4 linked regions of the Lepisosteus oculatus genome follow. The protein of the gene in region 1 interacts with the protein of each later gene in a pairwise test. Links are inferred from orthologs where the notes say so. Each region holds a gene or a part of one and is shown in the gene's direction. Other genes may lie near its edges. The genes, in order: rabac1, sorting nexin-10, syt16 and nudt18.

The links.
Region 2: the proteins of rabac1 (region 1) and sorting nexin-10 interact in binary tests that used the Homo sapiens proteins (3 or more experiments, as listed by UniProt). The two-hybrid records come from large-scale screens. The link is inferred for Lepisosteus oculatus from reciprocal best matches to the Homo sapiens genes RABAC1 and SNX10.
Region 3: the proteins of rabac1 (region 1) and syt16 interact in binary tests that used the Homo sapiens proteins (3 or more experiments, as listed by UniProt). The link is inferred for Lepisosteus oculatus from reciprocal best matches to the Homo sapiens genes RABAC1 and SYT16.
Region 4: the proteins of rabac1 (region 1) and nudt18 interact in binary tests that used the Homo sapiens proteins (3 or more experiments, as listed by UniProt). The two-hybrid records come from large-scale screens. The link is inferred for Lepisosteus oculatus from reciprocal best matches to the Homo sapiens genes RABAC1 and NUDT18.

The regions. Positions count from the first base shown.
Region 1 is NC_090722.1:9,967,000-9,974,267, forward strand, and holds rabac1 (prenylated Rab acceptor protein 1), read left to right. Parts: upstream 1-4,250; 5' UTR 4,251-4,309; coding exon 4,310-4,380; intron 4,381-5,302; coding exon 5,303-5,515; intron 5,516-6,053; coding exon 6,054-6,151; intron 6,152-6,715; coding exon 6,716-6,817; intron 6,818-6,905; coding exon 6,906-6,994; 3' UTR 6,995-7,081; downstream 7,082-7,268. Other genes in the region: dedd1 (death effector domain-containing 1), read right to left, coding at 1-144, 250-390, 1,309-1,783. UniProt on the Homo sapiens protein: General Rab protein regulator required for vesicle formation from the Golgi complex. May control vesicle docking and fusion by mediating the action of Rab GTPases to the SNARE complexes.
Region 2 is NC_090705.1:786,293-794,223, reverse strand, and holds the start of sorting nexin-10, read left to right. Parts: upstream 1-4,914; 5' UTR 4,915-5,084; intron 5,085-7,931. UniProt on the Homo sapiens protein: Probable phosphoinositide-binding protein involved in protein sorting and membrane trafficking in endosomes. Plays a role in cilium biogenesis through regulation of the transport and the localization of proteins to the cilium.
Region 3 is NC_090703.1:7,514,924-7,522,532, forward strand, and holds the start of syt16 (synaptotagmin-16), read left to right. Parts: upstream 1-4,602; 5' UTR 4,603-7,609. UniProt on the Homo sapiens protein: May be involved in the trafficking and exocytosis of secretory vesicles in non-neuronal tissues. Is Ca(2+)-independent.
Region 4 is NC_090697.1:68,281,167-68,288,607, forward strand, and holds the start of nudt18 (8-oxo-dGDP phosphatase NUDT18), read left to right. Parts: upstream 1-4,438; 5' UTR 4,439-4,482; intron 4,483-4,776; exon of another isoform or gene 4,777-4,869; intron 4,870-5,421; exon of another isoform or gene 5,422-5,478; 5' UTR 5,479-5,516; coding exon 5,517-5,675; intron 5,676-6,654; coding exon 6,655-6,868; intron 6,869-7,441. Other genes in the region: disintegrin and metalloproteinase domain-containing protein 9, read right to left, coding at 3,470-3,554. UniProt on the Homo sapiens protein: Mediates the hydrolysis of oxidized nucleoside diphosphate derivatives. Hydrolyzes 8-oxo-7,8-dihydroguanine (8-oxo-Gua)-containing deoxyribo- and ribonucleoside diphosphates to the monophosphates. Hydrolyzes 8-oxo-dGDP and 8-oxo-GDP with the same efficiencies.

The DNA.
Region 1 (7,268 bases):
CGCAGGTCACACGCTCGCGCTGCTGCCCCGGCCGCGGGCCCCCCTGGGCTGGACCGGGCCTCTCCGGGGCGGCGCCGCCCCCCCTGCGTCTCCGACCCCGGCCGCGCTTCTGAGGGCTGGGGCTCGGCCTGGACGACTCGACGCCTGGGGAGAGAGAGAGAGACGGGCGGGTCAGGCTCTGGAGACCCATCTGCTCACACCCCCCCACAGACCACAGGACAGGACCCCCACTCGGTGCGCCCCACTCACCCGCACTCCACTGGGCCCCGGCGCAGACCGGAGGAAGGTCTGTCTGTCCACCACAGTCCTTCTCTGGCCGCTGGGAGGAGCTCACTGACGCTTCACCCCCGTACCCCAATACCGGGACTGCGCTGACACGCTCCGGGGACACTGAGAGAGAGAGAGAGAGAGAGAGAGAGAGAGAGAGAGAGAGAGAGAGAGGGTTAATACAGACACACTGACTGGACACTCCAGTACATTAACACTGCACTGAGAGAGAGAGGGGTTAATACAGACACACTGACTGGACACTCCAGTACATTAACACTGCACTGAGATAGAGAGGGGTTAATACAGACACACTGACTGGACACTCCAGTACATTAACACTGCACTGAGAGAGAGGGGTTCATACAGACACACTGACTGGACACTCCAGTACATTAACACTGCACTGAGAGAGAGAGGGGTTAATACAGACACACTGACTGGACACTCCAGTACATTAACACTGCACTGAGAGAGAGAGGGGCTAATACAGACACACTGACTGGACACTCCAGTACATTAACACTGCACTGAGAGAGAGAGGGGTTAATACAGACACACTGACTGGACACTCCAGTACATTAACACTGCACAGAGAGAGAGGGGTTAATACAGACACACTGACTGGACACTCCAGTACATTAACACTGCACTGAGAGAGAGAGGGGTTCATACAGACACACTGACTGGACACTCCAGTACATGAACACTGCACTGAGAGAGAGAGGGGTTAATACAGACACACTGACTGGACACTCCAGTACATGAACACTGCACTGAGAGAGAGAGGGGTTAATACAGACACACTGACTGGACACTCCAGTACATGAACACTGCACTGAGAGAGAGAGGGGTTAATACAGACACACTGACTGGACACTCCAGTACATTAACACTGCACTGAGAGAGAGAGGGGTTCATACAGACACACTGACTGGACACTCCAGTACATTAACACTGCACTGAGAGAGAGAGGGGTTAATACAGACACACTGACTGGGGGGTTGGGGTGCACACACAGAAAGGGGGTACAGGCCTCACCCGTCCTCCTCTTCTTGCGGCTGACGAAGGGCAGCAGGTCGTGGCGGGTCAGGACGCGCAGCAGCTCCAGCAGGGGCCCCAGGCGGGACTCGCTGCAGTAGCCGCGCCGCTCCAGCTCCAGCAGCAGCTCCACGCCGCACTTGGGGCGGTGGCGGGCGGCGAGCGGCGCGGGCGAGCCGCGGGGCCGCAGGCGGCGCCAGGCCTCCAGCAGGCGGGGGCCGGCCCGGGGCTCGGGCTCGTCGGCGGCCGGGTCCGGGGTCCAGCCGGCCGGGTGCAGCGGGTGGGCGGCGGGGCAGGTCTCGTCCAGCAGGAAGGACAGCACGTCCACGTCCGTGTCCGTGAGCTGCGAGCCCACCACCTCGAAGAGCTCGTGCAGGGACTGCATGCCGTAGTAGGTCAGGCACTCCGTCTCGTCCCACCACAGCGGCCGGCGGGCCGGGGCCGGGCCCGGGACTGGGACTGGGACTGGGGGCATGGCCGAACCGGCGGGCCTGGGTGTGGGTGCGAGTGTGGTCGGAGGTGTGGGCGTGGGCGTCCACGCAGGGCGGGCCGGCCGCGCTGTTGACAAACAACCCGGGTCACGTGCAGGCGTTATGTAAGCCCACGTGCGCCCCTCCTCTCCGGCTGGCCCCTGCGGTGACGTCACGAGCTCGCGGAAGAGGTGCGGGTGGGTTGGAGGTGTGTGTGTGTGTGTTTCCGCGACACAGAGGCGAGTCTACCCCAGCTGTCCCGTCGTGTCTCGCCTCCCCCACCCGTGACAAGCGGTCTCCAGATCCGTCTCCCCTCTGCTGCGCCCGTCCCGGGGCTCCGGCCAGCGGCGGCTGTCCGCAGAGTGACCGCTCCGGCCGGACCTGTGTCACAAGCGCTCTGCTGCGGTGCGGGTCGGAACCGGGCCGGGATCCGGGCGGCTGGCTGTGCGCTGGCAAGTTCAAAGCTCGTCTAGTGTCCGGGCTGCACAAACCCTGTCCGCTCTCTCTCGCGACTCGTCCGCTTCTAGCAGCTTCCAGAAGCAGCTGCGCGCATGCGCGACCGCCCCTCGCCGAGCGGCCGCCATCACCGAGGCACCGGCCAATGGGAGAGGAGGGTCTGCCGCACGTGATCTGCCGACGCCGAGAGTCGCCATGTTGGGAGAGGAAGCCTGCCCCCGGGCGCCCAGGAGACGGAGGAGGACAGGTCTTCCTGACAGGCTCGCTCACAGGTGGATAGGGGCGAGACTCGCGATGGCCGGCGAAGGAAGTTGGAAGCAGGAAGTCCGGATAGCCTTTTCCTGATTTCTGCCCGGCGTGTAGCTCGAGCTGTTCGTACCTGGAAAGGCCGTTAGAGCTGTGAGCTGGTACAGGCTGGTTACCATCGAGCCCGGACCCTGTGCTTCTCAGTGGTGACACGTGTCTGAGCGCACAAAACACAATATTCAAAATCAATCCTTTTGTTCGATTAAGGATTTGATAAGTTGCGTTACTTGCGTTGCTATCTCTGAACTGGCTCCATCACTCTGCTCTCCTCCCCACTGAGAGCTGGTGTGTGGGGAGCGGACTGGCGCATCATCCAGGTGGGGCTGCACACTGGTGGTGGTGGAGGGGATCCCCATGACCTGTAAAGCGCTTTGACTTGAGTGTCCACAAAAGCACTATATAAGTGTAAGGAATTATTTTTATTACTTAAGAGCGCTGCTGGCATGAAGCGGATCCGGGGCTCTGTTTGGCTGCCGGAGGCGCTATCCCGAGCCTGGCCGCTAGGGTGCAGAAGAGGGGCCTGCTGCTCGGTCGCCTAGCAACCAAAAAGTTGACGCCCTCACTGAGCTGCCAAACCGAGTTACCGTAATAACTGATGTAGCACAGACGCGCAACTTGGGTTCCTCCACAGTTTCCTCCACAGTCTACGGTTTGCGTTTACATAGCGCTGGTGTTCTCCGAGTGTGTGGGAGACGCACAGCGGTCATTCTGCACCAGTGGCCCCAAATTGTCGTTTCACGACGGTAAGATCTCATCCCGAGGGCAGTGCCTTGTAAAGGACGGTGTCCCTGTTCACCATACTGGGCCAGTGGGCTGGAAATTCTGGTCCAGAGGGAAGATAGTGGTGAGGTGCTCCACCAGCACCCCCTGACCAAAGCAGCCTCTATGGTCCCACACTGTCCAGATACCCCTACTGGGGCTGACCTGTCTCTCACAGTCTTCCTGAGCGAAATGCACCAGCGCTCGCACCCTGAGCTATAGATGTGTAGGCACCCCATTTGCCAACGGGGGTTTGACAGAGCCGGCCTGCGCGCCGTGCTGCAGACACGGAGGCGCCGAGAGCTAATTCCGGCTACCCGTCTATCAGGCGATTTACGGTAAATAGCCAGCTCGTTGGCCGCCCTACGGGGACACGTCACATCCGGAACTGAGCCGGAACACAAAGAGAGCATCGCCGAGGGTGAGTGTCTCGGAGTTCCTGAGACATATATAATTATTTCAAACCTTTTAATACTGTTTGGGATCAGACTGGGGATTGAGCAGCGGTGTCGAATTGCGGCTGTTGGTTCGGTGCGCGGGGCTAATGGGAAGAAGTGTCTCCAGTTCTTCCTGCTGGAAAACCTGGCTCACTCGAAAATGGGAAAAACCTTCCAATTGGAAAAAAATATTCACGGTCCTCCATTGGTATTAACGCCGTCCTGGTGAGAACAGACCACGTCGTTTACGTGTTAATAATAATAATAATTATTATTATCTCACTCACTTTCTAAACTCATCTTTACTGTTTGTTTTGTTTGGAACAGTGACGTAGAGAGGGATGTAGTGACGTCGTTGTTCTGGTAGGTTGGGTGATGACGTTATAGGCTGGCACGCAACGCGCCGAAGCTCACTCACGCACTCCCACGCGTGGAATGTGTGGCCCTGCGGGGTGCAGGGGGCAGTTTGATTCGTCCTCGTACGTCAGTTGAGTTCCAGGGGGATGAAGCTGGTTTTTTGTCCTTCTGTCCTGGCGCTGTCCGGGAAGCAGCAGAGCCGACAGCGGGACAGCGATGGCAGGAAAGACGGGGGATGTGTTCAGCGGGGAACCGGGAGAGCCGGCCGGAGGAGGACTGGCCGGGAAGTAAGTTCCCTTCATGGAAACGCTGTTGTTTTCTTAATCCCAGTGAATCACTAATCCAGCTCCCAGTCCAGTCAGTCCAGTCCAGCCTGGAGAGTCTCTACACTGTGTGGGCCAGTGCAGTGTCAGTGGGGTCAATGACAGGGTCAGGGTTAGTAGGGACAGTTCAGTGTGGTCAGTGTCAGGGTTGGTAAGGTCAGTAAAAGGTCAGTGTTAGGGTCAGTACAGTCAGTGACATGCTCAGGGTCAAAGACAGGCTCAGGGTCAGTGTTACGGTCAGTGTGGTCAGTGACAGGCTCAGTGTCAGTGGGGTCAGTGTTAGGCTCAGTGTGGTCAGTGGTGTCAGAGTCAGTGACAGGCTCAGTGTCAGTGGGGTCAGTGTGGTCAGTGACAGGCTCAGTGTCAGTGGGCTCAGTGGTGTCAGGGTCAGTGACAGGCTCAGTGGTGTCAGTGTGGTCAGTGACAGGCTCAGTGTCAGTGTGGTCAGTGACAGGCTCAGTGTCAGTGGGGTCAGTGTCAGTGGGGTCAGTGACAGGCTCAGGGTCAGTGTGGTCAGTGGGGTCAGGGTCAGTGACAGGCTCAGGGTCAGTGGTGTCAGGGTCAGTGACAGGCTCAGTGTCAGTGGGGTCAGTGTCAGTGGGGTCACTGACAGGCTCAGGGTCAGTGTGGTCAGTGGTGTCAGGGTCAGTGACAGGCTCAGTGTCAGTGGGGTCAGTGACAGGCTCAGTGTCAGTGTAGTCAGTGGGGTCAGGGTCAGTGACAGGCTCAGTGTCAGTGGGCTCAGTGGTGTCAGGGTCAGTGACAGGCTCAGGGTCAGTGACAGGCTCAGTGTCAGTGTGGTCAGTGACAGGCTCAGTGTCAGTGTGGGCAGTGTCAGTGGGGTCAGTGTGTGCTCCAGCAGGCGGTCACTCTCTCTGTGTCGCAGGCTCTGGCTGCCGCGGGGGCTGTCCGGGGGCGTGGCGCGGGAGTGGCTGGAGCGGCGCCGCGCCGCCATGCGCCCGTGGGCGGGGTTTGTGGACCAGCGGCGGTTCTCCAAGCCGCGCAACTTCGGGGATCTGTGCCAGAGAGTCGTCCGCAACCTGGACACCTACCAGAGCAACTACACCTTCATCTTCCTCGGCCTCATCCTGTACTGCATGTGAGTCCAGCAGCGGGGTCACGGGTCGTGGGTCACTGCTGGGGGGGGGGGAGGTCATGGGTCACAGGTCACTGCCGGGTGGGGTCACAGGTCGCAGGTCACAGCCCTGGGGGGGGTCATGGGTTGCAAGTCACTGCTGGAGGGGGGTCATGGGTCACAGGTCACTGCCGGGGGGGTCACAGGTCGCAGGTCACAGCCCTGGGGGTGGGGGGGGTAATGGGTCGCAGGTCACTGTTGGAGGGGGGTCATGGGTCGCAGGTCACTGTTGGAGGGGGGTCATGGGTCGCAGGTCACTGCCGGGGAGGGTCACGGGTGGCAGGTCACTGCCGGGGGGTCATGGGTCACAGGTCACTGCCGGGGGTTGCAGGTGGTTACCAAGGCGTTGCAGATCAAGGGTCACAGGTCACAAGTTGATGCTGAGGGATCGTAAGTCACAGGTTTCAGGCGTTCACTGACCCTGCATGGACAGAAGTTGAGGATTTTGAACACTCGCTCTGTCGCAGTGAAATGAAGCAGCTCTGTCTCCTGTCTCTCTCAGCATCAGCTCCCCGTTGCTGTTACTGGCCCTGGCTGTGTTCGTTGGCGCGTTTTATGTCATCCACCTCAAGAGCCTGGAGAAGAAACTGGTGCTGTTTGGTGAGTCCGTCTGTCTACACCTGTGCAGTGCAGTGTTCATGTACTGGAGTGTCCAGTCAGTGTGTCTGTATTAACCCCTCTCTCTCTCTCAGTGCAGTGTTCATGTACTGGAGTGTCCAGTCAGTGTGTCTGTATTAACCCCTCTCTCTCTCAGTGCAGTGTTAATGTACTGGAGTGTCCAGTCAGTGTGTCTGTATGAACCCCTCTCTCTCTCAGTGCAGTGTTAATGTACTGGAGTGTCCAGTCAGTGTGTCTGTATGAACCCCTCTCTCTCTCAGTGCAGTGTTCATGAACTGGAGTGTCCAGTCAGTGTGTCTGTATTAACCCCTCTCTCTCAGTGCAGTGTTAATGTACTGGAGTGTCCAGTCAGTGTGTCTGTATTAACCCCTCTCTCTCAGTGCAGTGTTCATGAACTGGAGTGTCCAGTCAGTGTGTCTGTATTAACCCCTCTCTCTCAGTGCAGTGTTAATGTACTGGAGTGTCCAGTCAGTGTGTCTGTATTAACCCCTCTCTCAGTGCAGTGTTAATGTACAGTGTGTCTGGATGAACTCTCTCTCTGTCTAGGGAGGGAGGTCACTGGGGGACACCAGCTGGCCCTGGCAGGAGCTGTGTCCTTCCCTGTGTTCTGGTTGGCTGGAGCAGGAGCAGCTGTGTTCTGGGTGCTGGGTGAGTTCCTGTCTGACTCCTCCCTCTGCTCTGCTCCTCCCCTTCCTGTGCCGCTGTACTGAGGCGTGTCCCTGCTCCTGTCACTCAGGTGCAACGCTGGCTGTGATTGGGTCTCACGCAGCCTTCCGTGAGCTGGAGAACGGGGACCTGGAGGAGCTCACCATGGAACCCGTCTGACCCCTGACCTCCTGCTCCTCTTCACCCTGTTTCCCTAGTTACTCTTGCCTCTTTGTCACACAAATACTCAGTCATTGTGACGACGCATTTCCCTGTCTGTCTGTATTTATTATCAAGGCACTGACTGACAGTACTGACAAGCTGATACCGACAGACTGACACACCGACAGACTGACACTCTGATGTAGTGACACGCTGACACAGCGACACACCCACACACACGGACACGGTGACACACTGACAAACCCACACACACTGACACACTGACTCCTTT
Region 2 (7,931 bases), on another chromosome or scaffold:
AGAGGCATGTACTCACACTGGCTGGAAATGTAGGAGGGCAATGGTGAAAAAAATAAGCCTTAGAGTACAAACATAAAAGACATTTCATGGTAAGACTTTTCTGAGAAGCAGCTGTTGTGACACTAGCAGGCTGTACAGTATATGCACATCACTTCTTGTCGCAGTACTGAGAATCAGCCTCTGTGCCGAAAGCTTTGTTATAGCTGTAAACACTGCAGATGACAGAGGACACTCACTGACTCTCGGCTGATAACACTTCATTCTAAACTTAAAACTCTTCTCATCTAACAAATAGAGCCGATATATTCCTCCAAATTCAAAAGAGAACAGAGTAGAAGTGGTCATGTGGTGCAGACCTGATGTTTGGTTCTTGTTGCAGTAATAACATTATTAATAGTAAGATGATGAAAAAGAATACTTGTAATGAAACTGAAAGCACAAGCAGTTCAGTGGCAGAAATGTAATACACATTAAGGAAGTACTAGAAAGAGAATAAAGAAAAGAACAAACCAAGAGTAAAACTAAATTAAACTGAAATTACAAAGCTAAAGTCAAAAGAAAAGTCTTCAGAGATTTAAAAATGAGGGTTTTGGGATTTCAACTTTGTGGAGTCGGGTCTTCAGAGGGAGAAGAGCATCAGCAGAGCTCGGGCACTCTGTCCTTAAAGTAACCAGTGGACAGACCACGCAGTGAACACTGTCATTTTCTTAGTGATTCATGATGCTGTGATTGACCATCTCAAAAGAAGAGAAGGATATTAAGTGACACTAGCAAATCATTAACTATCTTAACGAGCTGTTTCAGTGCCTCTTTCTAAACCTTGACTAAAAGGGTCAGGAATTGTAGAACTGTCAAGTGCTACAAAAACACTTCTGCAATTTTGTTTGTTCTTGCTCAGCAGGTTTCTGAAATACTTCTGTTTGATGCCCAAGTAAAGATAAGATCTTTGTCTTGATTAAACCCACTGTATACTCTAGCACTCTGGTAGCTGAGATCTGAATCCACTCCATTGTGTGGAAATGGCCTTGCAGTTACTTTATTCAAAAGAAAACAGCTCACAGAATGCTTGGAATATTATAGGACCTGAAAAGATTATCTGTGCAAACATACTTCAAAACATTTAAGAATGCAGAATTTAAAGAGACCTCAAAATAGTTTATTATATATTTTAATAAAGACTGCATTCATGTTGCGCCTAGAGTTATTGCAGTGCCGTAAGCATTATAGTCAAAAAAGTTTTTTTTAATCCAAACATTCTTAGTTGTGCGTGCCTTCTTTACAATTCTACACAGTAAGGAAGGTATAGCTCTGCACACTGGTGGCCCACAGGTAATGTCACCAGTGTCTTACAATGTAGTTCTTTTAGCTGATCTATGATAACCTCTTGGGCAAACAATATTTCTACAGAAGTGGACCCGCAAGAGAGGCAGGATCAGATTTCTCTTTCACACTTTGGGAACATGAATTACAGTAATTTGAATCAGGGCCTTAGTAATCAAGTCCAACTTGACCTCCTGCAGATAAATTCTCTTACACAAGCGAGACATAACTTTCATATAAATTCAAAGAGTAAAAATGTTATTTTTTCTTTAACTCTTTTTCCAAAGCAACTTACATTTGTATGCATTTATACCACTGGAACTTTCACTGGAACAACCTGAGAGAAGTACCATCCTCAGGGTACAGTAGTAGTACCCCGTCTGGGACTCAAGCACTGACCACGCTGATGCCTGGATGTGATTCTTCTGCTCCATGCTGCAATGTGTGGATGTGATTGTACATGATGACTCATGGAAACATCAGTGCTGGAATGCTGATCATTAATCTGTTCCTCATAATAAGACAATATCTTGCTACTTTGTTGGAGGGATACTGTGGCAGAGCCAGGAAACTATGTTATCTGTTATGTTATGAATGTTATCTGCTTCTAGGCGTTTTCTCTTTAAACAGCAGACTTGTGAACTATAAACATGATACAACACTTATAATGACATTGATGTATGTTTATTTTATTATTTAGAAATTTAAAACACATCGTAAAGGTTGCAAATGAGATGAGGCTGTTTTGCACACATATCCTGCCTGGTTGCTTGTAGCTAATTAATCTAAGGATCTCACAGCTGTTTCCTGGAAGAAAACCCAGACATCAGCATCAACAGCATGGCTGGGTTGATTGTTCCATGCTACCAGCACCCTTTATGTAAAGAACTGCCTCCTGCTCTCAGTTCTAACTGTACGTCCCTGTAGTTTCCATGTGTGCCCTGAAGAAGTCTGTTGGGCTGACTTTGTCAAAGCTTTGAGGATTATGTAGAGTCGAGTCTTGTTGTAATCTTCTCCTTTCAGCACTTAAAAAGCTCAGATCCTTCAGCCTGTCAATGTGAGACATTCCTTATACACCAGGAATGCGTCTTGTCTGTCATTTCTGGACTGATTCCAGAGTGTAGAATATGCACAGCATGTTTCTAGAAACAAAGAAATGTTTTATGATAAGTTTACTCTTGTTGGCAAATACATTTGCTTCCTCACTTTGCCTAGAAAAATAAAAAGGGTGTCAACATAATCACCCAAGTCTTTTCTATAGGTAAATTTGTCACGTTTTCCAGAGTGTCATACAGTTCTCTCAGTGTTTTGTCTCCCTATTTGTAACCTTTTACACTTTTTTTTGGTGAGCTCGCAGAAAAAAAGACATTTCATTGCCAGCAAGTACTGCTGCACGCCGAATTGTTGTGCATTTGATAAATAAACTTTGATTTGATTTGTGCACATTGACATCATCCATCAGGTGTGTTACCAGTCTTGAATATACCCATAGCATTTTGATTTTCCTTTGCAGTTTTGTTGGTGTTTGCTAACCTGTCATATGGGTGTTATCTGCAAACCAGTTTCCAGTAGTGAAATCATCCTCCAGGATCTGCCGGTTGTTTCTCTGATGGTACACTAGCAATTTAGATCATTAATGTAAATAAGGGAGAGTGGTAGTCCCTATCGATCCAGGTGTGTGTGCGCGTGTGTGCGCGTGCGTCCTGCGATGCACTGTACTCCATATTGCGCCCGTTGCCTGCCGGGATGACTTCCACTCCCTTGTGGCCCTGAATTGGATGAAGCAGTTAGAAACTGGATGGAGGGAGTAGTCCTTAATACAGATTCTTGTGGCACTCCACTAATTACATCACCCTAATTACCCCCTATCTCTGCTGTCTGCTTTCTATCCATTAAACAATTCTTAATCCAAACACATATATTATCTTAAATGCCAACTGCCATCAATGTGAGAATGAATCTTTCATGAGGAAATGTATTAAAAGCTTTATTAAGAGCTCTAACACATTTGTTAAGCAAGATGTACAGTATCATTATTTACTCTAGCCTAGGATGCTACTGCTTTACAGATGAGCCACTAATTGTCTTCTAATTATTGTTACCTTTTTTTATGGGTAACGGGAGTAAGACTTATTTGTTGGTGATTATATGGTTCAATTTGGCCACCCACTTTATGGATGGATGCTACATTCGCAGTTTCTCCTGTCTTGAGCAACTGTTAGAAGACTTTGTTAATGGTCACTGAATAAAATCTCCAGTTGACTGAAGGCCATCAGGCCCTGGAGATGTGTTTATCTTGAACACGTCTCATACCAGGAACACAGCTGTTTCTTATCAGCCCCTTATTCAATACTGAACCTGAGGCTGCGTGTCAGTTGGTTAACACCCTGGTGAAATATTCATTCAGCACATCAGATGTTTCACTTTCATTATCTAAAAACACACTCCTCCAAAACTGTGAGACACGTCACGTGATCCTTTAATGTTCTTTCGCTGTTGCTCTGTTAAAAATACGGATTTCAACCTTCTGAAACCTTTTCCTTCCCCGTCTCTTGTTCTTTCGGCCTGTGTTGACAGTTCGTATCCATTTTCTTAACATGGCTCCATGCTGTTGTCATCAGTTTATAAAGTGCTTTCATTTTAACTATAATTTTCTTAACTGGTTTACAAAGCTACTGGGCCCCAGCTTTCACTGAGTTTTATTTAATTAGAGTTTGGATTAATTTATTATGTTCTGTAGCTTCACCGAGTTAATTTGCAGTACTTTTATCTTATTTCTGTTGTGTGTGCTGTAATAAAGCCCTTTGAGTGTCCCATGAAGAAAAGTGTTATTATTGAGGTTAATTGTATTATTATCTTTTACCTGTTGCCACCCATTGTCCACTGACTCCACCAGTCCTGTCTCGGCCCTGCAGTGTCTGCTCTGGCCATGTCGTACACCATGTTTCACAATCAGCCTGTGGACTGAGCTACTCTGCAGGTTCTCTCACCCCTGCATCTTGACTCGATGACACATGCACAGCAGCACTTTACAGGCACCAGTTCAGAGCTGTCAGGAAACTGGAGCACCTGGAGACAACTCAGATGAATGCAGACTCCACACACAACTGCACAGGAATCGAACCTGGGACCCAAGAACAAGCCTCCATGATACTACACTTCCCCTGCCCAGTCTGACATGCTGTTGAATTCACAGGAGAGGTGCCGAAGGAAAGCAGATCACCTGGATCGGACTCGCCACACAGCTACACAAAAATAAAAACGGAAATAAATCAACGATGTGTGAGAACAGCAGTGGGGAAAAAATAAAAAAAATAATTCCCCAACACAAACCAATCTGAAAAAAAATGATCATGCCATGTGCTAAAACGTAGACATGTGAAACCTTTACCGTTAAAATTGTACTACTTTTTTTACAAAAAAAATAGCCCACATTTGGGCTAGAAAATATTCACAGAAAGCTCATGAATGAGATCAAACACGCCCAAAATCATGCAAGCGGAGGAGGGGTGTAATAATTTGTAGTAAGAGCCTCCTTGTCTCTCGCAATCTCACACGTCACGGCTTTGTGTGCGAGTAAAAGGCACTTTCCCCACAAGAGCTCCAGGAACTGCGAGAGCCGTGGTCTCCGCGAACAGACACTCCGGCAGTGTTACAGCTCGGCGTTCAGTCTGGTCTGCGAGCAGTGCGCCAAGTCTGAGCCCTGGTCCGACGCGCGTCCTGACCGCCGGCTGGGCAGCCTGTGACAGACACAGCGGTCTACGGTAAGTGCAACACTGTTACACTACCATAAAGCGCGATGAGGCTGGACTGCGTCTCTCTTTCCGGCGTAGCCGTGGTCGTCTGTTGAAAGCGCCGTTTCCACGACCGCTTGTAAATGATCCGGTTACCTTCGTGTAGCCTAAACCGGAGCCTGCCCCTCCATGCCGAGCTTTAGCAGAGGTCTGTCGAATAAACGCTGCAGCTCTCTGGAGCCCTGGGGGGTGGTTTCTGTATAACTGGGCACTAACTGTCTCTGCAGTGAGGTGTGTGATGGACCCGGCAGCCATTCTGTCCTCCTGCAGCTGCGACCCCACGTTTCCGACGCGGATCCGCACCAGCGCTGCCGATGCGCACGAAACACCCCCCAGCAGAGCCTCCGCAGAAAGCGCTTCAGACACTGCGTGGGTAGCGTCTCGGAGACGGCGTTTCGGTCTAGTCGGCTGGAGGACTTTATGTCATGTAAAAGCGAAGGCTGGAGTCACGATCGTTGACTTGTAAAAAAAAAACACTTCTCCTCCTCCTGCCCCCCTAACCAAACAGACTCACGCAGACCGGCATAGCGACTCCCAGCGCCGGGAGCTCGCCGCTTCCCCATTCCAGCCCCCTCCGAAATGCTTCGCCCAACAACGATAAAGTAATTAGCAAAAAGAGCTCAAGAAAATAAAACATAAACCAGAATCGCATGAAGAACACGGTTGACTGCATATTGCACATATATAAATCTAGTCGGGCTAAACTCGGATTACGTGCTTCCTTTAGAAAGTATTAAAAGCCTGGAAAACATTCTGATGTCAGTCTAACCGTAAAATCCTAGACCATTCTAACTGTGGAATGCCATATGTCTTAATATTATTAAGTGATCCACTGCATCATGTTTGAACAGATTAAGGGTAGCTAACAAACATCTGATTTTAATCAAGGCAGAGCTGATGAACTCATGACCTGAATGTTTGTCAGGATTTCTCTTTGAAGCTCTTCCTTGACTTTCTGAACCTCTTAGCCTGAAACTCAGAAGATCTGGCCGCTGTTTGCGGTGGTTTGTCGTCTCTCGCTCCCTTACTTGCTTGCTTTTACTAGCGACTCCTGCATGATTTGTGCTTCTCGCCCAGCAGAGCCGTTTTCCACAAGCAGGTGATGGCTCACTCTCGGCAGTGATCATTTTCTTATCGCTCTGTTATATTGCTTAGATCGTGTGTGCGTGTGTGAGGGGTATTCGTCTCTTCCCCGCAGGTGGTTTCAGACTCTGCCTGTCGATTTTCCCAATAAGTTTATTTGTAAGTCAGTTGTCGGCGAGGTCTTGTTCGCGATCCAGGTGTGCGTGTTTCTAGCTGAGCAAACGCAGATGTGAGGTGATCTGGCCTGTGGAGGTCAGACAGTTTTAATACGCCCGCTCTTCACCTGCACAACCCGTCCCGGAGCCGATAGCTGAAGAAATCACAAGCGGATCACCGCTAGCAACGGTAGCCTGATTCTCATTCTTATTTTGCGTTAACCTTCCTTTGTCAGCTTGCTGATGTGCACTGAGCTGCTGGGCTGGAGACCTGCACTGTGGCTGGCTCCTCCTGGAGCTGCTGTATTTATTGCTGACGGTGTTAAAGACTGTAAATAGTTCAGCAGGTTGTTATCAAACCGCGGTTATGCAAGCTGTTAAATCGTTTCCCCAGCAGAGAGGGGAACAGTCCTGACAGAGCATGAGGCTTGTTGTGCTGCGTTGTTACTGCTGAGTAAATCATTTAATCTACTTCCTGTAGTCAGGTTGTGTTTGCTGGAGAGGTGAAATCATTTTCTGTGTGTGAGGAAGCTCTTGCACTTTAAATAACAAGGTTGAACATATTAAGCCTTCACTAGTAATGTAGTCAACGTATCCCGGTTGTTGAAGTATCAGAAAGATCAGCTGGGCAGTAAACTGGTGCCGTGGCAGTATAGCGTGTGTACGACGTGCTCAGACTGTGGGTCGGACTGGTTTCTCCGCCAGCAGCCTGACCGGGTGGGGGTGAGAATGGAGGCAGTGCTGAGGAGGTGATGGAGGGACACGGGGACCGTCTGCCTCGTGATGAGCAGGTGGTTTGTTTTGACTGTGTGGGGTCCTGTCCCGTCTGATCTCGGCTGTGCGCCGGTCCTGCGATCAGAGCTCCGGGCGCAGTTTCCGCAGGGCTGTTCTCAGGCTCTGAAATGCATTTCAAGGGCCCTGCTGTGTACATGGTGCTCCAGGTTGTCATTGCAAATGATGAATAATCGAAATAATGTGGAAGTTTAGTGTTCTTGGTGTTTATTCTTCTGCTTCTAGAAATGTGAACATGGCAATTAGAGGTGTTGTAATCATTCAGGTACAGGACATTCAGTGGCACTTGGTTTGGCCACATAACAATCCGGAATGATGAACAATTCATACTAAAGCTCTTCAAAACTAGTTCTGAAGGCATGAGTACAAAACTCTCTTGATGAATTTGTTAGACTATGTTAATGCTTTTCACAATCGCTGCCCCTAATGTCAATCGGGACAGTGAATTTTTCACATTAAAAGCTGTACATTTGTCTGTCACTGACTGCTTGGTGAGTGAAAACAGGTTACTGGCCCACAGCTTCGTTTCAGTAGTGTTTCATGAAGGATCACAGTTTTGGAGTACTGTATCTGTGAAAGCACTGGTCTCACTGTAGTCTGTTTATATGTTTATGTGCAACAAGAGCATGTTCTTCCTCTTATGCCCTTGGAGAGCACATAGGGCATTTTAGAAGAAGGAAGCATAAATTATAAAAGGCCCATTATCAGCCGAGCACATGTGAATGTAGGTTTGTCTGTTCGTACGGCGGTGACGGCACGGCAGGCACATGGAGTTCGTGCTCACTGG
Region 3 (7,609 bases), on another chromosome or scaffold:
CACATCTGTAAAACACAAGATGAAACATGCATTTGTGCTTTAGTGAGGTTTATAACAAGGATTCCCAGTACCCCAGGGAATCTGAGCGATGTAGAGAGGGAGTGAGCTAGGCGTTTAATGTTTTGTCCTTTTAGATTATTTACCTTTGGAGGGGCTTTTCAACAGTTTTTACTCCGGAAGTGTTTAAAGGTTTGAAAATGTTTTGTTTTTTTTCACTCAATTTCAGAAAATGAGCCGATGTGTTTTTTAAGACCACCGCGTGAAATCCATATATTGAACCACTGAGCATTCCTCTTTCAAAATCACCCCTCTCTCCCGGCCACTCCATCCCTCCTCTCACCTCCCCCTCTGCAAGCCCTGCGTGAGGGCAGAGCTGTCCAGCACTGACAGTCAGTCCTGCTAGACTGTACACTCCCTTGTGCTCCCTGGGTCTTCAACACTTCCGTGGCTCATCAGCTGCTGCAGGGCCTTTGGCTTTTTTTCGCTCTGTGCTCCCAGAGTACCCCTGATTCTTTCTGTGAAGGCCTCTTGTCCTCTCCCCATGTGGCCGGATGAAAGACAGCGGGAGCAGGAGCTGCACCACTCCCGTGCCCGTGGTTCTGCTGTTGCTAGGGCCATGCACTTCTCCAGTTGCCAGGTAATTAGGTGTATTCTTGGCCGCCCAAGGTCCTTGCCTTTACGAGAGTGTAAATGGACGGAAAAAGCCTCTTTGGGTGATGTCAGTCTAATGAAGCGCATGTGCGTGTTTGAGCTGTCGGTCGTGAATAACCAGTGGCAAAGAAATAGGAGCAACACTTCTACGCCGGGGTTTCTTGCAAAGTAGCCAACCCAAACCAGTAGTGAAGCAGTGGGATTGTTTATGCGGCATGTCCACCACCATCCATATCCGCACACAGATCATTGTTGTGCTATAATAGATGTTCCATCACAGCCACGAGTCCTCAAGGCTGTGCTGTTAGTAATAGAATGGGAACTGGCTTCGTAGTCACAGGTAATGACATGTATGATAAGGGAATAAAGTAAGAAGGCAGCGGGGGCGCACCTCATCCTAGCCAGAGGTCTGCGCTGGTCTATAAGAGGACAGCCAGGACAGCCAGAGGGGAAGGTGTTTGCAGATAAAAGGAACAGTGATGAGCACAGGGGCAAGGAGGTCCTCACTTATTATTTTCTGTCACCTAGTATGTGAATCCCCCCACCTCCTCTCAGGGCCTGGTGTTGCCACTGGCGGGGCCTGCCTCTCTCCTCAGGGCCTGCCTGAAAGCCGCACACCAGCCTCTCCTCCTTGTCCAGCCTCTAAGCTCTCACCCTGCCGCACAAGACTTCCGGGTGCCATGGCAACATAGACCTCTCCTTTTCAGCGGGAATGATGGAGACATTGCCTTTTAAGCACTCTGTGCGGAAGAAGAGGCCGGTTACCAGGGAAACTGACCACTGTGCCTTCCTCGGGAGGGGGGAGGCCTTGTGCAAACCTCTGGCTCTCACAGGCACTGGCAAAAATAGCAGCCTGACATTTCAAGAACTCGAGGCCATGTACCCGAGCACTGTCCCCGCACGAAAACAAAGGGGTGACTGACTCCCAGCAAATTACATTTCCCAAACACCTTGAAAATGAATGTCTTGTGCAGAATATAATTCCCCAAAAGAACCTGCGTTTAGTTTTTGAGAGGAGAAAGTACAGGTAGTGTAAATGAAATCCCTGATTTAATTAGCATTGCTAAGTTTGATGTGGCCCAGCTTTGCAGGCGTGGGTGAAATCTGATGCAGTTTCATGGATATGCAGGGACAAAGGGAGAGATTCAAGGATACCTTTTTAACAGGAAGAATAGATTTTGTTTTGGCTTTTCAATTCTCAGTAAATTATGTAACATTCCAAATTAATAACATGCTTTTTTTGTGCAGGTCTATACAATGCACCCTGGGACCAGCCCCTGTCCTTTCTGTGCTGCGAGGTTAACGTGGCTCAGCTTGGGTCTGCGCTGTGAGGTGCAGCCGGCACACACCTACCACACCTGCCACTGAGCCAGGACCTTCTGCGGTGTCTGTTAATCACAGAGCAAACAGCATTCCAGCACAGCCCATACAGAGGCTGGTTACAGCCCGCAACTCTCTGGGCTCCTGATCCCAAAAGTCTACAAGGGTGCAGTTCCCACTGGGGCTTGTCTTTCTTCAAAGCTGGAGATGTAGCGCACAGTAGGAAGTGAAGGTTGTTTTGTCCTTTTTCTTTTAGAGGAAAACTTTTAAGCACACGGGCCATTTGTATGAGTTAGCATAAACCCCTAAGGACTGGCCAGACCTGCTTTTCCAGCCCTGCGAGTTGGAGGGAGAAACGGTATGTGGGATATTTCGGCGTCTGTTAGAGGCAACTGCTGTCTTCAGAGAATTTAGTCTTCTAGGTGATTCGGCAGATGGGACGTTGCAGAGGACCTTGTGGCTTCTTTGGTACAGACCTGGAATTCAGCAAAACAGCACTTGCACAGGAAAGTGCAGAGAAAGGTGGGATTGTTTGATGTTGGCTGTGAACGGCTGTCCTCTCTGTGTTGCTCCTGCTCTCCCTTTTGTAATCAGAGGTTGCTGTAGCTGAAGAGACGGCGACAGAGAGATACACCGCTATTCCAACAGTTTGGCAGTGTTCTGTAAATGTGTGCTGCTCACTTTGAGACCTGTTGCAACAGGAGCAGTGATGGTTCATTCTAGGATTGTTCTGGTGAGGACTTGAAAGTTTTGAGTTACTCCTGCATCCTACTAGCTCTCATGTAGTAACTATAGATGTTAGGAATAAATATGATAATAAAATATGTTAGAAAATGTGTTAAATATGTTAGGAACTTTAATTACTACACCTGAGAAAATAAAGATATCATTTGACACATCTCCGACGATAATTATTATACTATTCGGCTTAAGCACAGTATCATGCTTAACATCTGTGAAAGTCTGATGTACCTGTCTGGACTTCATAAGTGTCTAGATTTGCTCATATTTCTTGTCAGCTTGCGGAAGAAAATTAAACAAGAATAGAATGTGTACTGAGGGAGGATTGTGTGCGTGGTGCTATGTCAATAGAATGACAAATTGACAGTCTGAAATCCTTTGAAACGGAACAGAGGCAGTTTTACAGTAACAACGTTCAGGAATTATTGATGGCGGTTCTGTTATTTCTCGAACAAAGCCACTGTGGATCAGTATAAAGAGAGACCTTGGCTTATTGTATCTGTCAGGGCTAAAGCGCTGTCAGAAAATGCCATGGGAATGGAATAAAGAGAAACTGGAAGGAGAATGGAAGGGAGGGACTGGATCCTGTGCCTTTCAGGCAGTCTCTCCTTCTGTGGCGAGAGATGAGCGTTGTGAGTAGGCAGGACCGCTTCAGTCGAGAATGGCAATCGGTGTCAGCGCACACAAAACTACACAACACCCCCACTCCCTGCCCGCCAATCAAGATATCTTCCCACACGACACTGGCACAAAGACTCTGGTAAATGTCGTGAAGCGTCTGAGAGGTGTTTGAATGCATAATGCGCTCGCCCTGCGTTTGTTCTCAGCAAGCCCTCATCTGGGGAGCGTGCTGCGGCAACGGGGAAGAGCACAGTTGCTCCTCTTTGATGTTTCCAGCAGCCTCTGAAAATTCCCCTTCAGGGGGCGAGCGCTCACTGAAGACACCCGCTCCAGTGCTGGGTCCAAGACGTCTTCTCTCCCGAAGACATTCGCTCACAGTCTTGTGTACCTTGTTGAAGAGCCTGGTTGGTTCATGAGACCTCTGAGCAGTACATCGACAGTTTTCTTTGACTCTCATCCTCAGTCTTCCCATCCATTCACTTTCATCTGCTACAGAAAGATTGCTCCTTACCTCAGAAGATACAGAGTCTGAGCCGGTGACCTTATTGCTGAGTTGCCTGTCCTGTAAAGAACCTCTTTATCGAGGAGTCTGTCTTCCTGTCAGATTTGGGTGTTCTGCCTGACCGCTATCATGTCAGACTGAAAGATTTGATGTGGTGCTGGGTGGAGAAATATGACATCTGATTTCATTTTCTGCCTTGCAGGCTCTTTAGGCTTTGCGGCAGACAGGGCTATTCAAGTTGCTATGTAGATGTACAATGAATGCACTTCAATGTGCAAAAATGAGCCCAGTGTTTGTGCCTCCCATTTGACCAAGTACTCTGTTTGAACAATGAAACATGGGCTAGAGGGAACGAGTGAAAACTATGTGGAAGTGAATTTATGATTGAAAACAGGAGGCACATCTTTATCCAAAGGATTGTGAGATGAACAAGCTGCCCATGTTGTTTCCTTCAAGAAACCAGAGAGACCCTTGAATCAGTGACCTCCCATACAGGCTTTATGGGCTGAATGGCCTCTCGAGAGCATTTCTCTCCTCGCCTGTTCTGAAGTGCTGTTCTGTGTGTCTGTTTGTCTGTAGTCACACCTGAGGCCATTGGTTTCCTGTCTGCGGTGGGCGTCTTCATCGTGGTGCTGGCTGTGCTCTTCCTCTTCATCAGTAAGAAGCTCTGTTTCCAGAGGATCGGCGGCCTGCCCTGCCTGGAACACCGCAGGAAAAAGAAACGCTCCCGAGAGAAAGCAGGGATTCACGAGGGTCTGGGTAAGAGGCCGTCGGGTCTGCTAGGGGTCTGTGTGTGTCATTGTCAGGCTGACTGGCAGACTGTCTCCCTCACTGTGTTCTGGTCTGCTTCCTGTGAAAATCACTGCAAAGTCACTGAACTGCAGACTGAAGCCTGTTAGTAGAAATATGTCTTTTTAAATTGTTTTCTTCATTCTCGAATTACCTCTCACTCCAGTCATGTTTGCTGTGACTTTGAAGAACACATAGAACAAAAAATAAATCACAGATCTCCGCGTACTGCTTTTGGGCTACATACAAGAATGGGAGTTTCAGAATAATTTAATTTTCTCTCTATTCAGAGGACAGTATTTCCGCTTCTACTGTTTTAACAGCTCAGAGACGCACACTTTGGAGGATACTGTGCCTCAGTGGATATTGTGGTATGTTTTGGAACCTCGCTCCTGTATCAGTGTAATAATCAATAATAATAATAATCAATCTTCTCTCCCTCTCTGAGCAAGAGCACCTCCCTGACCGATAGCTGTTATTATTGCCAGGCCATTGAAAATAAGGTTGATTATTTGTTAAAACAATTTTATTTTTCCAAGGAGTTTTTAAGAGTTCTCAGGAGTGTGGTTCAATTTTTTCTTGTGTTGCTACAAATGTACACCTGTCCCGATGAGGTGAATTATCAAAGACAAGTGAGCCCTTGTTAGAGTCTGAAAATGATTGCCACGCTGACCAGAGTTTCATTCTGTGTGAGGGAATCCCCTGGCCTTGTTGACTGCATCCTACAGTCAAAGAGTCAACCAGTTGGTTCCTTTTTGGCATGACTAAAAATGACTGGGACCTTGCCCTTGGTCTCCTGTGAGGAAGACAACTGCAGTATTTTACTGGGGCTCAATTCTTCTGTTAACTGCATTGTATAATGCTTCACAATCACAGAGCACCCTCTTCTGGGCTTGCAAATGTGGTCGCTGCTATCCACCAGTGTATTAAGCGACTATAGTCCCCTAGATAGCGTAATAGGGTTGTTGGTCTTGATTGCATAGTTGGGGGTTATGTTCATTACTAACTGCAGCTGTGACATTCCCATCCTCCCCCCTGACAAGCCTGTGAACACTGTCGTCTGATGCTCTTCATCAGTGCGTGCCTTCCCACAATGCATCTGCTCACTTCCTGACAGTACAGAACTGAACAACAGTTGCCGCGTGGTGAAAGGAGGCATTGTGGTTGGCGTTGCGGCCTCACAGCTTTTGGATTCGGGGTTTTTGTGTGGAATTGGCATGTTTGACTCTGCATAGGCTTTCTCCCACCTTCCAAAAACATGTTGACGAGGTTAATTGATGTCTTTACATTTTTCCTCCGTGCTCGTGTGTGTGTGTGTCTCCTGTGCCGCACTGGTGTCTTGTTCAGGGTGCAGCCCTGCCTGGTGTCCTCGTCTCCAGGAGATTGTGATCTTAGCCAGTCCTGGAGTCCTGCAGATGAGAGCGGTGCTCTGCTGCAACCAACTTTCTGGTCTTGTGTTTGTCTAACAGACAATAGAGAATTTAGCTTCTGAAGAAGGAAGGTGGAGCAATCAAATAGGATAAAGTGAGGTATTACCAACCAGGTGACTAGATCAACCTGTTGTACCATCTGTTTAAATAGCAAGGCTTGTGAACATTATTATCATATACAAGCTTATATGAGATCAAAGAGCCACACTCAACACAATTATCCATTAAGGTTAGGCTGAGGAATTATTTCACATGCCAGTCACGCTCACACAATATTAGTAAAGAAGTGAATGAGGCACATCTTCATTGGCCATTACATGATCACATTTTTTTTCTAAGTAAATAGTCGCACCTGCACAGTACATGTGTGTTGACTTTAGTTTTCCAAAAGTTCTTGAATTTAGAGGCATTGTCAGTCATTTTTCCAAGAGATCTTGCCTTGAAAATGAAATAATAATCACGGGAGGCAGCCAGTCCACTGTCTCTTTTGCTGTGTTTGGACTATGGTTTAAACGGTAAGATTGAATGAATATAAGAACTGTGCAAACGCTTGACAGTGTGAGGTAATGGTGCCAATATCTGCTGTGCCCGGCCAGGCGACAGATAAGAGATTACAAAAGAGAGGAGGCTCTCGAACAATGTTGAAATACAGTCATACAAGAGCATTATGCAGATGTAACATTGCTTCCCTTTATTTGAATTCGGCACATTTTTCTTCACAATACGCCTCTGAGTCACTGCCCTGCTTGCTCTCCTGTTCCTGTGCCGCCCACCACAGGCCAGCAGTGATGTCACATGGCCAGGAGCTCAGTGCACAACGCGCTGGGTGAGAGCAAACTCCCTCTCTGAGGAACAGAGCGGTGAACCTGCAAAGGGCTTTCAGCGCAGTTTAAACCCAATTAAGGCTGCGATAATGGGCACTTCCCACCCGCTGAGTGTGGGTGAGTCCGAGTGTGTTTGTGTTACCTGGCGATGTGGAGGAGTGCAGTGCGCAGCAGGGCTTGGGTCAGGAGATTGTTTAATGAGCGCTGCGAGAGAAGTGGGAGCAGGGCAGCCTGGGAAATGGAAGCACTCTCGGGCAATTCTGCCGGCTGCCAGCTGTTAGCCGCACAGGCCAAAACTCCACATGGGGCGCCGTGGAGCAGAGTTTTCAGAACTGAGACACATGCTATTAATTTAGAACAGAAGACAGGAAGAAAGGTTCTAAACAAGAGGCAGCCCTTTGTCCCAATCATAACTTATTTGGTTACTAGTAGCTGAGTGATATATAAAGCCAAGTGCATACCTGAATGAATTTGTTGGATTATTCCCAAACCTCTCATTTATCAATGCTAGATTCCATGATCATTTCACTTGTATGGTATAGAGTAGAATTATATAGTAGTAATGATTGAAGCTTCTTTAAAAGGGTTAGAATGGGGCTGTAGTTCAAAGATTGCTTTACCCATCCACTCCTGTGTTGCATGTTTGGAAGTAATGTAGATGTTGCAGCCTGCAGTGACTCTATTCTCAGTGCACGTCCCGTGTCTCAGTCTGAGCCTGCTGGCGTTCAGTC
Region 4 (7,441 bases), on another chromosome or scaffold:
GGGCGAACGGGAAATTTGGCCAGGATGCCGGGGTTACACCCCTACTCTTTTCGAGAAACACCCTGGGATTTTTAATGACCACAGAGACTCAGGACCTCGGTTTTACATCTCATCCGAAGTCGCCTGTTTACAGTATAGTGTCCTCGTCACTATACTAGGGCATTAGGACCCACATGGACCGCAGGGTGAGCACCCCCTGCTGGTCCCACTAACACCTCTTCCAGCAGCAACCTTAGTTTTTCCCATGAGGACTCCCATCCAGGTACTGACCAGGCTCACACCTGCTGAGCTTCAGTGGGTTGCCAGTTGTGAGTTGCAGAGTGATATGGCTGCTGGCGAAACTAAAGGCTTAAATAAAACTTAGAGGTTTACGTTATCCAGAACAGCCCTGTACATAGTAGAGATGTAAATGAGGAAATAAAATACTGAATACCCAGAAATACTTCAGTATTAATGTTTTCTTATTGTGACAAACCTATCTTTCAGCACAAATACAGAAAAATATCCAAACCAAAGTTTCTGTAAATGGCCTTAGAAAATACAAAAAAAATGAAAACCCACAAGCTTCTAGAAATGTTAAGAAAAATCAAAAGGCTAGTCATTTATTTACAAAAGAACAATACAGTAGATATACGATGGCAGACAGCACTTTCCAGCACTCTTCTGGAACAGTGTTCAGGGCTTGGTCTGTCAAAACAAAAAACAGCCTGTGGCATTCAAAGGACATTTTCCATTATGGCCTGAAACAAAAGATGTTCTCTGAATCTTGTCATGGTCAATACAAAATACAGTAATGAAAGCAATACAGACAGCGTAGACTTTAAAAATCCATTATTGTATTTAAAATAAAACTATGCATTATAGTTTTTAAATACTTAGATGTGAGGGGGCTAGAGTATAACAATTACTAAACAGCAATCAAAGGATCTGAGATGATGTATTTGCTAAGGCTGTTTCCACTGTATAGGTGCTGTCAGAGTTGAGCCCAGTCCTCTCAGATTCCACACTATTCCTGATAATTTACACCTCAATGAAAAGGGATCCTGACTGGCAAGACACTTTTTTTAGGAAGAAAACAGTTCTGAAAGCACTGCATAATGGATCATGAAATATTTTTTATTTATAAAACACTTTTCCAATCCCAAGGATGCTGTACACAGTGATAGAGATCAGCAAAAGAAGAAAAAAACGGAACAAGAACATACAGGATCATCTGTAGGGCAATCAGACATAGGTCCTAATACAAAAGGTGAGTTTTAGGCTTAGATTTCAAAAGAGTCGAATAATTTGTCTCTTGAAGAGCCGGAGAAAGTGCAAATCATAACAACAGAGCAGCCTCTGCAAAGGCACAGTCACCAGAAGACCAAGATCCTGGCTACTGTGAGCAAAGGACCAGTCCCAACAGAACAGAGCCTATGGGAATGGAGCCTATTAAGAGCTTTAAATGTCACTACCAAGGACTTATACTGAACACTTCATTTTATAGGCAACCGATGTAGAAATTTAGGTGTAGGAGTGATATGCTATAGGGTCTGGTGTGAATTAGAATTCTAGTTGTAGAGTTTTGTACATATTTTGGAGTTTTGGAGCAAAGAGTTAGAGAAATCGAACCTTTTTATTAAAAAAAAACGGGAATTAAGTTCACAGCATCGGATATTAATAGAATTTGAGCAGATTCCTGACTGAATGGGGAAGCCATCCACCGTCGCTGTAAGGCTCTCCAGCTTTTCCCAGCTGACATTTGCTGCCCGTCAATATCATTTCCGTTGTATCACTACTTATCTTCCAAGGACTTTGACGTCAAGCAGAGTATGATGTTACGCAGACCAGCGATAACTGACGGAGGCGGCAGATCCCGAGGGAGAAGAGGTTTTAACGTAAATCTGAATATCTGCATAACAATGAAACTACGCTTATAATCCGAGCGAGGGGAAGCATCTCAATAATAAAAAGTAATGGGCCCCAAGACTAGCTTCTCTGATGGGAAAAAGTCATTCTGCTTCCAAACTGTGGAAAGAATTGTTTAATTCTTGAAAAACAAAACGACAAGCGGTATTGTAGAAAATGGGAGGTGTTTGGACAGCTCGTTATTGTGAAAGCACTTCAGATCGTAGAACCTATAAAACAGGCTTGACAACCCATTCAGCACCACTCAAGGTGTACAGTCCTACCTGAGTCTGAGCGGGAAAAAAATATCACACAACTGCAGCAAAAACAAATGTTGTCATGTTTTCAGTTAAACTACAACAATAAAGGACTTACTTTTCAATCATTTTCTAGAATTCCTCTGAACAGGATCTATTTGTCATTTAAACGATTCAATCCAGGCATGTTCAATAGCATTATCCAAGTATTAAATTACTTTCAAAAATCGACTGCCAGACGCCCTCCAAAAAAAAAAGATGAAACTGAAGAACTTATTTTTGGCAACAATAACAATCGTAATAGGCGGCCGTTTGAGATCGAGTAAAATTACAAATCTTCACAGCAAGCACAACAGATCGATGTGTTGCCTTTACGGTGAAAGACCTCCCAAAGCAGGACAACTGTTGTAGACCACAGAAAGTATTTGTCAAACCCGCTTCAATCAGACGATGCGTCTGTGGGACACCACCACAATCTGTTCCCGTTTAAAGCCAGTTACTGGAAACGCTTAAAACACACGATTAGACCGCCTGCCAAGACTGTACACCCAAGACCCTTTATAACTACAGTAGATGATACTTAAACGAACAACTCTTCGTAAATGTGTAAACTATGTGGCAGCGTGCAGGTTGACAAACACTGGATGTTTTCCCACCACGGCAACACTTCAAGAAGCCCAATTTAACACAACAACTACATGGATTATTTGAAACACAGGGAGACAAGGGGATTTTATCACTACTGTACATGCAATCGTTTTGGGTGTACACACCACCTCGCTTTAATCTATACCGGCCAACCTCTTTATTTCCATCTCAAAGCGACACTGCAAGGACAGCAGGATGATGTACGATGTGAACTGTGTTAGTTTTCTTGGCAGGTATTCACTAACCGTATAATCGAAAACTCCCTTCATCCGCTGCGTCGTTTTTTTTCCCAAAGGCTTCCCCAAGAACACCAGCCCCAATTCATTCACCTCGGTTACCTACAACATTCACCTTCAAACTGCCATTAACTTTTGAAGTGGACAATTAAATGGGCTGTATGGAGTATACAAATTATTCAGCAAAGAATATCATTACGGAACAGCTTTTAGAAACTCGCGTTTCTCAAAACGACCCGTGTAGAAACATAGCGAAGCACATGTTAGACGGTCACAAACGGTGGACCACAAAAGTTTCTCGGCAGGTTGTTGAACTGAAAAAAGGCTGCATTTGTAGGTTACGACGATGAGTATGGTACTCAAAGTGCCAGAGCAGCTTTGAGTAAAAATGTAGACTTAATTACTGAAGTCTGAATTCGTGAATAGATCGGCGTCACTTACTTTTACTACCGTAGGTGAACCCGTCTGAAAGCAAAATCCCCCAAAAAACGAAAGTAAAGCAGCTCTGGGGCAAAGTTTTACCCATCTTCGTTAAGAAATAAAGTCGGCGTAATCGCTTAACAACTCAATTCTTTTTCCTCTATCCAGGCGTTGCCTCCTAAGAAGTAGATGCCTTTTCCACATACTGTAGTAGACCACCTCCGACAACCTTTATCGAGCCATCTTTGTCTCTGTTTTTCTCTACCAAATTCCCAGATTATTTTATGAGCGGTTATTTTTCAAAGAAAAAAAACAACAACAAATGACTACCATGTGCTGGCAATAACGACTAGATATGCTGATTCACTGACTTCCCAGCGTTGTTTGTCCGGACAGCTCAGGTTGGGCTATCCATTGAGTTCGAGTGGAGTGGACTGCACGGAGCATGCGTCACTCTACAAACGGGCCCGTAGCTAAGGTTAACCCTTCTTCTTCCGCGCACACAGGCGTACGCCTGGCACACGTACCAGGCAGCAGCAGCTGTTGAAGAAGGACAATTTAGAAAGAGGATACAAAGAAAAAACGTCGCTGCAAGCCCGCACAGTGAAGAGTAACGATGATTGTACTTCGGCCAGCAGCTAGCTACAGTTGTCTGTTTTTCAAGGACGCGCTCCTTACTCTAAATATGCTGATGGAAGGGTTTATTTGTAAGGTCTGTGGAAGAGGTTTCACATTTAGGCGCATTCGTACAAATAATCTGCACGCATGAATAAATGCATATCCCTTCCTTCAGCTGTTTCTTCATTTTTGACTGTTTTCCATTTAAGACCGTGCTGAGAATAAGCTACAGAGCTCCAAATGCATCCAAAATAAGTAGTTATCGAAGTAAATAGTCCATTTATGGCTGAAGTCTGAGCTGTAAATTCGACTCGTCAACAAATGCAGTAAATAAAAATATTAACTATCCTGTCATTCGTAAATTAATTTACCAGGACCATCATCTTTTATTCTGGAGGAGTAGAACACTCGCAGCTGTAAGCAAAAGATAACTAATGGTTCAAATTGTATGCTACATTTAGGACTTGTCATTAGGATACATTGCCGGCCACACAAAAAAATACTTATTAAACATGTGAATGTTGAAGAAAAGCACTTTATAGATAGCCTATCTGTAGCAGTGAGACTACAGAAGAAAAAACGCAGTTCTGCAGGTACTGTATCTGTTTTGTGCAATCAAACCTTTTGTGCGCGTTTTGTTATGTGCGTTATAATGGTATCTTGGACTTTTTTTACTATCCCTTAGCTCGCAGCCAACGACAGTGGGTGGGCTGGACTTCCGCTGTTATTACTGTACAACATATACTGTACGTGCTAACGAAGAAAACAGCTAGCGTACCAGTAAAAGCAGAGCTGCGTTTTAGGTAAAACTGAATTGCATGTCCACTTTCCGGTTGTTGACAGATGTACGAAACACTTTTGCTGAGTTTGTTTTTGTATGTATGTCAGACGGAGATTTCTGGTTTGGTAAACAATACAGATTTGATTTCAATGACTCCTGGGCAGTAGCAGAAAAAACACGGTTGCTGCAGAGGCACTTGGGAGTCCAGTCCAAGGACGTTGCATTTAGCTCCTTACTAATCATAGTTTTTTTTTACAATTTTATGAGCCCTCCCAGTAATCTTTACGGTGGATACAGTTACCACAACATTGTACATCTGCATCCATCAGCATTTGTCAGGTGCTTTAGCTCTGTGTACTACGCAGCTATGAATTGAACCCAGGAACAATGCACCAGATCGCTGGTTTCCATGATGCAATAATAACTACCTTTTAAAAAAGGTGCATTGAAGCGCTAATCGATAGACGAGTTTCTTCTCGGTGAAACTAGTGACGATCACATGTTTCCACCAAGCGTTGCCCAAAACACAAATTATATATATTTAAGTTAACTTCCCTATATTATTTTCTTTAAGCCCGTTAAGGGATCTGCAAACCAAACTCAGTCGCCGAATTTCTTCGATTATAAACAGAAGGTTCGGGCCGGACCGGGACTTCGCTTTCCCCAGCAATGGGTTCGGCTCATCGGACAGTGGAAGACGAGTTGGAGAAGATTCTGAGCGGTGAAGGCTCGCCCGTGCAGCGGTTTGATTCCGCTCCGGACCTGCAGTCGGTAGCATTAAGAAAAACTACCTGCTACATCGTCTGCGGCGTCATCTTTAACGAAAAGGTAAACGCGGTAGACCGGAAGATAGCTTTTCAACGTTTTGGATTCATTTTTTGTTTCGGAGAGCAGAAACGTGCCATGCGGCATTAGAAACGTTATTTGTACCCGAGCCCAGCTAACCGACTGGACTTCCCAAACCAGAACTCTTCTGGATTTTAATTTAAAAAATAGAATAGTACAAAATACAGTACTTTCAATCTTTATACAATAGTGAAGGGTGAAGTGTTTATTCAATAGAAGCAGGTTTCTTATTTGAAGAGCTTTGAGATTCTTTGGGATTAAAACGCTGTACGAATGTAAACAAATGTCAACTGTAAGCTTCCATTTAGCCAATAGAAGGTAATTACCGCCGTCAACTCAGTGGTAAATTGTGTATTTCAGTCTGTGAAAGCACTTACTTAAATTGTCGTTTATTACTTTCAAGCCCGTGCTTTTTAAGAGTTGTGTATCACTCTCCTCAACAAGCAGTTATTTTATTTTAGTGCTAAGCTCCTGTCCTCTATGACCCTGTAGATTCATACTGCCATCTATTGGCTTTAAATACAAACGTTTTATGGTTTTCTGGTACCATTAGGTACAGCACACTGATTGAAGTCAATAAGTATTTTTTTTACATACATACTAAATACATATTAAAGTATAGAAATATTAACAGTGTCCTAAAGTGTTTTTACTTATTCTTTTACTTCCACTAGCCAAACTGCTCCGTATTTTAATATTAGAAACACAGCTGTATGTAGTTAAAATCCCACACAAGCTAGTGCCTACAACAAAGATTTAATGAGAAAAAGATCGTAGTAAGGATTAGTAAATGATTATCTTTAGTTGACGATATGAGTGAATATCCAGTGACTTGATTATCCTGTGCACTCTGTGTCTCCGAGCCCTGCGGCACCCATACCCTACATGCAAACGAGCGCGTTGAGGGATGCCTCCGGCCTCATGGTGTGTCTTGTGTGTCTGCTGGCCTCCTGCCTCACAGAACGAAGTGCTGATGATGCAGGAGGCGAAACCCGAGTGCCACGGGCAGTGGTACCTCCCCGCCGGCAGGATGGAGGAGAACGAGAGCATTGTGGAGGGGATGAGAAGGGAGGTGAGGGAGGAGACGGGCCTGGAGTGCGACCCGGTCACCCTGCTCCTGGTGCAGGAGAACGGCCCGCGCTGGATCCGATTCACTTTTCTGGCCCGAGCGACAGGTTGTGCAGAATTTATTACTGGCTTTTAGAGCTTGGTGCAGGGCAACGTGTTTTAGAACGACACTGGTGACCGGATGGAAGAATCGAGTTTGTGAGGCACTGACATACAAGGGGGAGGCGCAGAGGTTAACATTGCTGCCTTGCAGCGCTGGGAACCCTGGGCTCAGTTACTGGGATTCTCTCGGTGTTCACGTGCATTGTCTCTGGGTGCTCTGTTTTCCACCCACAGTCCAAAGACATACAGTACGTGTAGGTGAATTGGCTGCTGAGGAAACATGACCCAGGCGTGAGTGTGTGCTTGTTTGTGTTTGAGTGGGCCCAGTGATGAACTGGCATCTGCATCCTGCCATGTGCCTGCTGCTTGCCAGTATAGACTCTGTCTCCCCCGCCACCCTGAATTGAAAGAAACGATTAGAAAATGGATGAATGCAAAATTCAAGGTGGAGCCTGCCTTCTAAGTGGAGATGATGGAATTAAGAGATGAAATCAAAAGGATTTGATGCATCAATTCTATTACAATAGATTATAATCCAGAGATCTCTCAGACCAGTGTGCTCAACCAGTTGTTAGGAG